Mus musculus: one gene and its partner. The protein of the gene in region 2 binds, or shares a complex with, the protein of the main gene of each other region. Links are inferred from orthologs where the notes say so. Each region holds a gene or a part of one and is shown on either strand. Other genes may lie near its edges. The genes, in order: Nop10 and Nhp2.

Evidence for each region.
Region 1: Nhp2 (region 2) and Nop10 share a complex: the UniProt entries of both Homo sapiens proteins name them as parts of the H/ACA small nucleolar ribonucleoprotein (H/ACA snoRNP) complex. The link is inferred for Mus musculus from reciprocal best matches to the Homo sapiens genes NHP2 and NOP10.

What each region holds. Positions count from the first base shown.
Region 1 is NC_000068.7:112,260,572-112,263,687, reverse strand, and holds Nop10 (H/ACA ribonucleoprotein complex subunit 3), read right to left. Parts: upstream 1,763-3,116; 5' UTR 1,665-1,762; coding exon 1,611-1,664; intron 1,376-1,610; coding exon 1,235-1,375; 3' UTR 790-1,234; downstream 1-789. UniProt on the Homo sapiens protein: Required for ribosome biogenesis and telomere maintenance. Part of the H/ACA small nucleolar ribonucleoprotein (H/ACA snoRNP) complex, which catalyzes pseudouridylation of rRNA.
Region 2 is NC_000077.6:51,618,137-51,622,641, reverse strand, and holds the start of Nhp2 (H/ACA ribonucleoprotein complex subunit 2), read right to left. Parts: upstream 2,870-4,505; 5' UTR 2,825-2,869; coding exon 2,665-2,824; exon of another isoform or gene 2,561-2,664; coding exon 2,491-2,560; intron 158-2,490; coding exon 52-157; intron 1-51. UniProt on the Homo sapiens protein: Required for ribosome biogenesis and telomere maintenance. Part of the H/ACA small nucleolar ribonucleoprotein (H/ACA snoRNP) complex, which catalyzes pseudouridylation of rRNA.

The DNA of each region.
Region 1 (3,116 bases), on a different chromosome or scaffold from region 2:
TCTCCTCAGGAATCTACTTTCTAAGGCAGCCTTGATGGCCATTCAAACTTCACAGACTTTACAATGACATTTTGCGCAATTTCTGCTCTCTGACACATGCCAGTCTTTTTGCATGTATTTATATGCACTACCTAGCTCACTCTGACAGCTCTTCCTCTTGCCCCCAAACACATAATCAAGCTCCCTAAAGCCATGTGTATCCAGGGGATTGTCTAAGTCATTGCTAGAGTCACACGTTTCCTTTTCTCCATGGTGACTAGTACTACCTCCAGGTTGAAGTCTTTATTTTGGTATGCACAGCTCGTGGCATAGAAGTAATGCTAACAATGCTAATGTTTTATTTTTGCAATCGAAGGACAGAATTAATTGTATCCAATACTGAAAAAAACCAAGAAGACATATCTCCTACCAGACAGATTTCACTGGCTTGGTAAAGAAACATCCACAGGCTGGCGCACACCTTTAAGATAGTGTTCAAAGGCAGAGGCAGTTAGACCTGAGGTCCAGGGCAGCCAGCTCTACATAGAGACTCTGTCTAAAGAGAGAAAAAGAAAACTTCCAGGGTTGGGCATACTTGTTATCTCAGAACTCAAAATGTAGTGGTAGGACTGGAGAGAGGGGTGCTTCCCAGAGGACCTGTGTCTATCCCCTGCAGTCACAGAAAGACTAGCTATCAGTCTCTAGTCACCAGGGATCTGACTCCCTCTTCTGGTCTTGATGGTTACTGGCACATATAGGCATAGACACATGTCGGTAAAATACTAAAACACACATACATTTTTTTTTACTCTTTGAGGAATTCAGAATATTTTTTAAAGGGCCCACAATTAGACAGTAGTTTTCCAGGGAATGCTGACCTTTGTAGGAGTCTTTCACAGCCTTTTTCCCCCCAACACCCTATCGTCGATGGCACACAGTTCTATTGCTACAATGAGGGCTTACGAATGTTCTCAAGTGGCCTTGTACTACCAACGGTACTACCCTTCCCCCATCTCTTCCTCCAACAACACACAAAATGAACTTTCAGTTCACTATATCTTTAATAACCTGGCATGAAAAAAAGAAAGAAAAATATTGTTCCTTTTACAGGCGAGGCCCATCAGTATAGACTCATTCACGTGGTGAGTGAGATAGGATTCCAAACAGCATGGGAAGGCTTCAAGGCTTACAGATTGACGCGTTTGGTTGCTGATAATAGGCCGAGGCATGAGCAGCGTAAAAGATTAACGAGCCCTCAGAGGACAGGACGCGGTTGCTGGGTCATGAGCACCTTGAAGCGTTTCTTGATGGTGATTCGGTGTCTTGAATATTTGTCATCTGGGGAGAACCGAGCAGGATGGGCGGAGCAAGTCTGTTGTCCCATAGGGTCAAATTTCTGCTCAAGGAAAAATAAAAAATATCTCAATATGAGTGGTGTGATAGAAAGAAACAAGAAAATGGGTGACCTGAGGCCAGGAGATCGCGTGGTCAGAAAAAGAAGCCACTGCCTATCTACCACGTTTTGGCTCCGACATGGCTCCACTCAGTGGGCTGCGCAGGCCGGTTCCAACTGTTCCTCCCATCTAAATTTCTCGTCCTTTTGATATATAGCTGTTTCCTCCTCCCCTTACCTTCAGCGTATAAACGCGATCGCCCTGCTCGTTGAGGTAATATTGGAGAAACATAACTGCCCTCAGCAAAAAGACACACGTACTACCGCCAGCCGCGTTTACTCCGAGTGCGCCGCTTCAATCGCGTGCGCCAACAACCTTCCAGATTGGACGGAAGTCTCTCCAAGGCATCCTGGGAAATGTAGTCCATTTCTCCAGTCATATCCATGTGACCAGAAGGGGGCATAGTAGAGCAAGTCTTGCTTGGCCTTGGGTTCCAGCTAGCAGCAACCTTGCAAAGTTATTAAGATCCATGGAACTGCCCACTGTGTGCCAGCCACTTGCCAGGGATTAGGAAGTAGGGATGGATGTGGGTTGAATGTTGATGCATCATTCACTGTTGATATCAGTCCTATCTTTAATTTCAAATTGCACACCCATTTCAGAGGCACCACTTTTCGAATTCCTGGAGAAACAAGGACTCAAGGATTCTCAACCTCCTATATCCTAGGGAAGAAGTTAAGATTTTTTTTTTTGAACCCTACTTTTTACATCCGGTTTCCCGCCCAATTTCAGAGTATTGGCGGCAAAGAGTGCATGATGGGTATTCGATATTATGCAAAGCGAACAGAACGGAAAGGTTTTCTTGTGAACCGGTGGATTTTGTTTTAGGGATCGAACCAAGATTCAAACTCGGGACCTGACCACAAGTTCAGCTCTTTCTTATATGGTGAGTAGCAGATAATAGCAAGTAAGGTACGCCTTCTCGGGGTATTTCCAGTTTTTAAAAGACTGAAAAGTCTCATAAGATTCTAGTTTAAGGTGGCGCACGCCTTTAATCCCAGCACTCGGGAGGCGGAGGCAGGAGGATTTCTGAGTTCGAGGCCAGCCTGGTCTACAGAGTGAGTTCCAGGACAGCCAGGGCTATACAGAGAAACCCTGTCTCAAAAAGAAAAAAAAAAAAAAAAAGAATTAAAAACTAAAACCAAGATATTGCAAAATGATCATTGCAGCACTACTTATAGTGGCAAAAATATAGTAGCATACTAAACTTGTAGCCAGAAAAATCGTAAAGTTTTTTTTTTTTTTTTTAAGTAGTGACTATAGACAGTTCGACTGCCGTTTTCATGAGATACATTAAAAAAACCCGGGAGCTTAACCCGTGCTTGTAACCCCAGAAGTCCAGAGGCTGAAACGGAAGGATTTCTAACATCCTAGGTCCAAGGCCTACCTGGACAGTATTCTAAACAGTGAAACCCTTTTTTAAACCGAGAAACAAACAAACAAAAGCGTGGTGGGTGGGTGGATGTGTTCGCGAGTGTTCGTGTTTTTGTGTGGGGGGGGTGTGGGGGGGCGTGGGTGTTCGAGATTTTGCGGGGGTGGGAATATACAACAAACAGTTAATATTGGTATCTTCTGGCATGGAGGTCTTGGTACAGGGAATGAAAGGGAAGAGTGTTTGCTGATGTAGGGTTTTTTTTTTTTTACATAGCCTGGATTTTTGTTCGTTTTGTCTAGGTTTTGATG
Region 2 (4,505 bases):
CCTCCCTAGGGCCAAGATGGGAATGGGGCAGGGTGGGCATGCGCTTCTCACCGTCTTAGAGGGGATGTAGACGTAGGGCAAGTTCTGGTCCTCGCACAGAACTGGAAGATGGCAGTACACCTCAATCGGCAATGTATCTCCTGCCAAAACCATGATCCTGCAACAAGAGAAGGCACCATCAGTTCTCCTTTGCTCCGTCTCTTTCCCTTTCAGTTCTAAGAGCTATCTCCAGCCTGGCTGTGAGGGCAGAGTCCAAGAAAATGCCCCACCCCAACCAAGGACCCCCACACTAGCCTTCAACTTCTGAAAGGAGTACAAAGTCATGTTTGGCAAATGCATTCCTCTGGGGACATGGTCTCTACTTGACAGCATGTAAATGCCACCGAATGTGACTAGAGGTGAAGTGCTGGGACAGATGAGGTACAGGAGAAATACCACGAAATAGGAACTCGGCTCTCCTTAGAGTCAGTTATGTTCCAACCAGGAGATGACCCTTGAACAGAGACTTGAGTGCCATGATGATTCCAGAATGGCAGGTGTGGGGACAGAATAAGGCCAAGGGTGGTACTGAAGGGCTGGTTGCCTTCTGCAATAGATAACTAGTGTGTGTGTGTGTGGTGGGGGGGGGGTGTCAGAGAACAAAGCTGAGAGGACTGGCAGGGATCACACCTAAGTGTTTGAGTAACACACAGACTCTGTCCCAAGAGAAAGCTTGCCAGGGCCCTCAACCATGGCTGAGAGCTGTCAGTGTACCAGACCCAGAAGTCCTGAAGATCTGCCCGGTGTAAGGGTGGTAGACATCTGTTTGCATACTCCGTTCCCTTTGGCACAAGGCTGGTCCTTTCCACTTGTTCCTTTGCTGTCCTTCTTTGTGGTCCCTTTCTCCTTGCCTTCCTGACCTATCATGGTGCCAGGGGCCACCTGAAGCTACCAGCCCCCATCTGCCCTACCAAAACATCTGCCTGTAGAATAGCTAAGCAGAGCATGTCCAAGGCATTTTCCATGTCAACTCAGGACGCCTCAGAGGGTAAAGACACTCACTGCCAAGCCTGGCCACCTGAGTTCAATCCCAGGGGCCTGAATGGCAGAAGAGAATCAGCTCTCCAAGTTGTCCGCTGGTGTTCACATGGGTACCAGATGCACATGTGTCCATACACATGCAAGTAGGCACCCACACGTAATAAAAGGTATCTAAAAACCACACTTCAGATGTTTTCACACAAACCTGGCTTTCCTCCACTGTCTGTCTGCAGTCACACACTACAGCCCAAACTAGCATGCAAAGTCATTATATGTCACCGTCTCTCAAATCCCTCAGCTGTAGCTCCTGCCCATCACCTGCCTTGGGCCATAACAGCTTACTAAGTCTGACTTGCCTCTCCTAATTCTTCCCTCGATGTCACGCCTCAGCTTGCACTCTGTTCTGAGAACACTAAACCTACCTTAGAAAGCCCACGAGGGGGAAAAAGAAAACAACAACAACAACAACAACAAACAAAACCGGGCATGGTGGGGCACGCCTTTAATTCCAACACTCCGGAGGCAGAGGCAGGCGGATTTCTGAGTTTGAGGCCAGCCTGGTCTACAAAATGAGTTCCAGGACAGACAGGGCTACACAGAGAAATCCTGTCTCAAAAAAAAAAAAAAAAGAAAGCCCAGGAGGGCTGGAGAGCCGGCATACGGGGATGCATAGCCATTTCTGGGGGTGCATGGCCATTTCTAACTCCAGTCCAAGGAGACCTTACACCTTGCCTTCTGGTTGCCAAGGGCACCAGTGATGCACCAACATATACACGCAGGCAAAACAGTCATACACTTAAAAGGAGTAACCACTTACATTGTGTAAGTGCCACTACACTGCCCTGTCCAAGAGCCTACTCTTCTCAGGATTCCACCCCCTCACCCCAAATAAACCTTCATTCATTCATTCTCTTCCTTTGTTGTTTTGAGACAGGGTCTCTATACATAGTCATGGCTGAAAACTTAAGAGATCTGCCTCTGATGGGATTAAAGGCCTATCACTGGCTTATCATTTTCTCCTTTTGGGAGTTTTGTTTGTTTTGAGACCTGTCCATAGACCACGACGGCCTTGAACTAGCTATACTTCGGAAGCTAGCCCGCATTCTCCCCTGCCCTACTTGGGAAAATGTCTCTCTACATATAGCACGTTGCCTAGAGCCTGAAAAAGTTGTGCCGTTCTACAGAGTGAATGATCAGGACTCTAGTTTACACGGGCTGGATTCCTATTCTCTTCCCTGTCATTTACTGGGAGTTCCATTTACTGGTAGTGAAGGGAGTTGACTGCTAGACTGGTTGGTCAACTTCACCTTTATTGAGTAGGTGGAATTTCTTCTTAACCAGTTAATAAGCCAAACTTAGTGCCGTAGTACTTGTGTACCGTGCACAAGGCCCTAGGTTCAATCCCCGGCACTGGAATATAAAAATAAAAACCACACAAAACTTAAAAACCAGAGGAAGCCGGGTTCTTACCCTTTCTCGCCCTTGTTGACAAATTTCTGAACCTCCTTCACCCCGCGACGAATCTGCTTCTGCTTCACAGCTACAAAGAGAGAGAAGCGTGAGCCGACACCTCGCTCACGAGGCTCGACCCCGGGCCGCCCAAGTCACCGGTCCCGGACCGCGATCGCCACGCGCCCGCCTCACCCTTCTTGATGCACTTGTAGAGCTTGCGCGTCAGGCGGCGGGAAGCCAGGGGCTGCGCGATGGGGTTCAGATTGACCAGCAGCTCTTTGTACGTGCGCTCCTCGCTGCAGCCCTCCGCCTGCGCCTCGGACTCTTCGGGAGCGGCCTTTACTTTGGTCATCTTAGCAACTACAACTCCGTCCCGGCATAGAGGAACCACGCGGCCGCCGCCTCCGACATCACTTCCGGGTTTTCAAGTGGCTCTACCCTGTGACCAATTGGGAAACTAAATATTCTACACCGACCAATCTCTAAGTAGATCTCTAGGGGCGGGATTTTGGATATGGGGGCGGAGTTAAAGGTCAATCTAAGCACGGGATTTGGATTTTCACCGCGGGAATCCCAGGGAGGCCGAATTTAGAACCGGGTTTCCAGAGGGAAAGGGGCGGGGCCTGGGGCCGAGAGGTGGGGCCCAAAGGGAAAGAGGCGGAGCCCAAAGGGAAAGAGGCGGGGCCCGGAGAGATTGAAGAGCGGGTGGAAGGAAAATACACAACGGGATTGTGTCCCCTGAGCTCCTTGTGACCTGCCTTGTGACCTGCTGCTGCTGGTTAGGTAAAGCCTGGCGCACCTGAAAGTTTTTTCATATTTTCTTTTCCCCCTCCTAGATCCTGTTGCACAAACTATAAACCGCACACCTTTGATCCCAGCAGTGGGGAGGCAGGGGCAGGTGGATCAGGTCAGCCTGGTCTACATAGTGACTTCCGCTGGGCAGTAAGGTCAGCCTGGTCTACATAGTGACTTCCGCTGGGCAGTAGTGGTGCATACCTTTACTCTCAGCATTTGGGAGGCAGAGGCAGGAGGAACTCTGAATTCAAGGCTAGCCTGTTCTACAGATCGAGTTTCAGGACAGCCAGGATTACACAGAAACAGTCTCCAAAAAAAAAAAAAAAAAAAACCGCAAAGAAAAAAGAAAAAAAAGAGGCCGGGCAGTGGTGGCGCATGCCTTTAATCCCAGCACTTGGGAGGCAAAGGCAGGTGGATTTATGAGTTCAAAGCCAGCCTGGTCTACAGAGTGAGTTCCAGGACAGCCAGGGCTATACAGAGAAACCCTGTCTTGAATAAAAACCAAAAAACAAAAACCAACCCCCCCCAAACAAACAAAAAAACACAAACAAACAAACAAAAAAACCCACTCCAGTTCCAGGGGATCTGAAATGTCTAATCTGCAAGGGCCTCAGGAGTGCATGTGCTGCACAGATGTGCTTTCAGGCAACACACTCACACACAGGAAATAAATCAATCAAAAGTTCTTAAATGTTAAAAGCAAATCTGAAAAACCAGAAAGGTAGGAAGGAAGGTGACATGTGCTGGATGAAGAGTCCAGCTAGCTAATGAGAACCCTGGAGCAACAGGAAACGGGGACCTCAGCTCTGTGACGTAGAGGGACTGAAGCTGGTAAGGGTGAATATGAAGGAGGATCCTGAGTGCCAGATGCCAAAAATCAGGCCCACATTTAGATCTGTGTTTTGTGAAGGACACAGAACTTACCTATCCCTGATTGACAACTATGAGACCTGTGAGATAGTTGAGTATGATTTCCAGCCACTAAAAGCCATCACTTGGACAGCAGCAAGAGGACCAGGATATGTCAGATTGGGATACATTCTCTGAATTGCCAAGAAAGACAGAACCAGGGAAGGCTGTTGGAGGAAGGAGCACTGGGTAGCCTAGTAAAGATTGAAATCATCTCTCTTTTTTAGGTTGTAGGGAGGCCTGGATGTGTCTCAGTAAGCGATTACTAAATGGTGGGGAAATCAAGTATTTAAACAGCAAATGCTTAATATTTGCCAGCTGATTTGAAT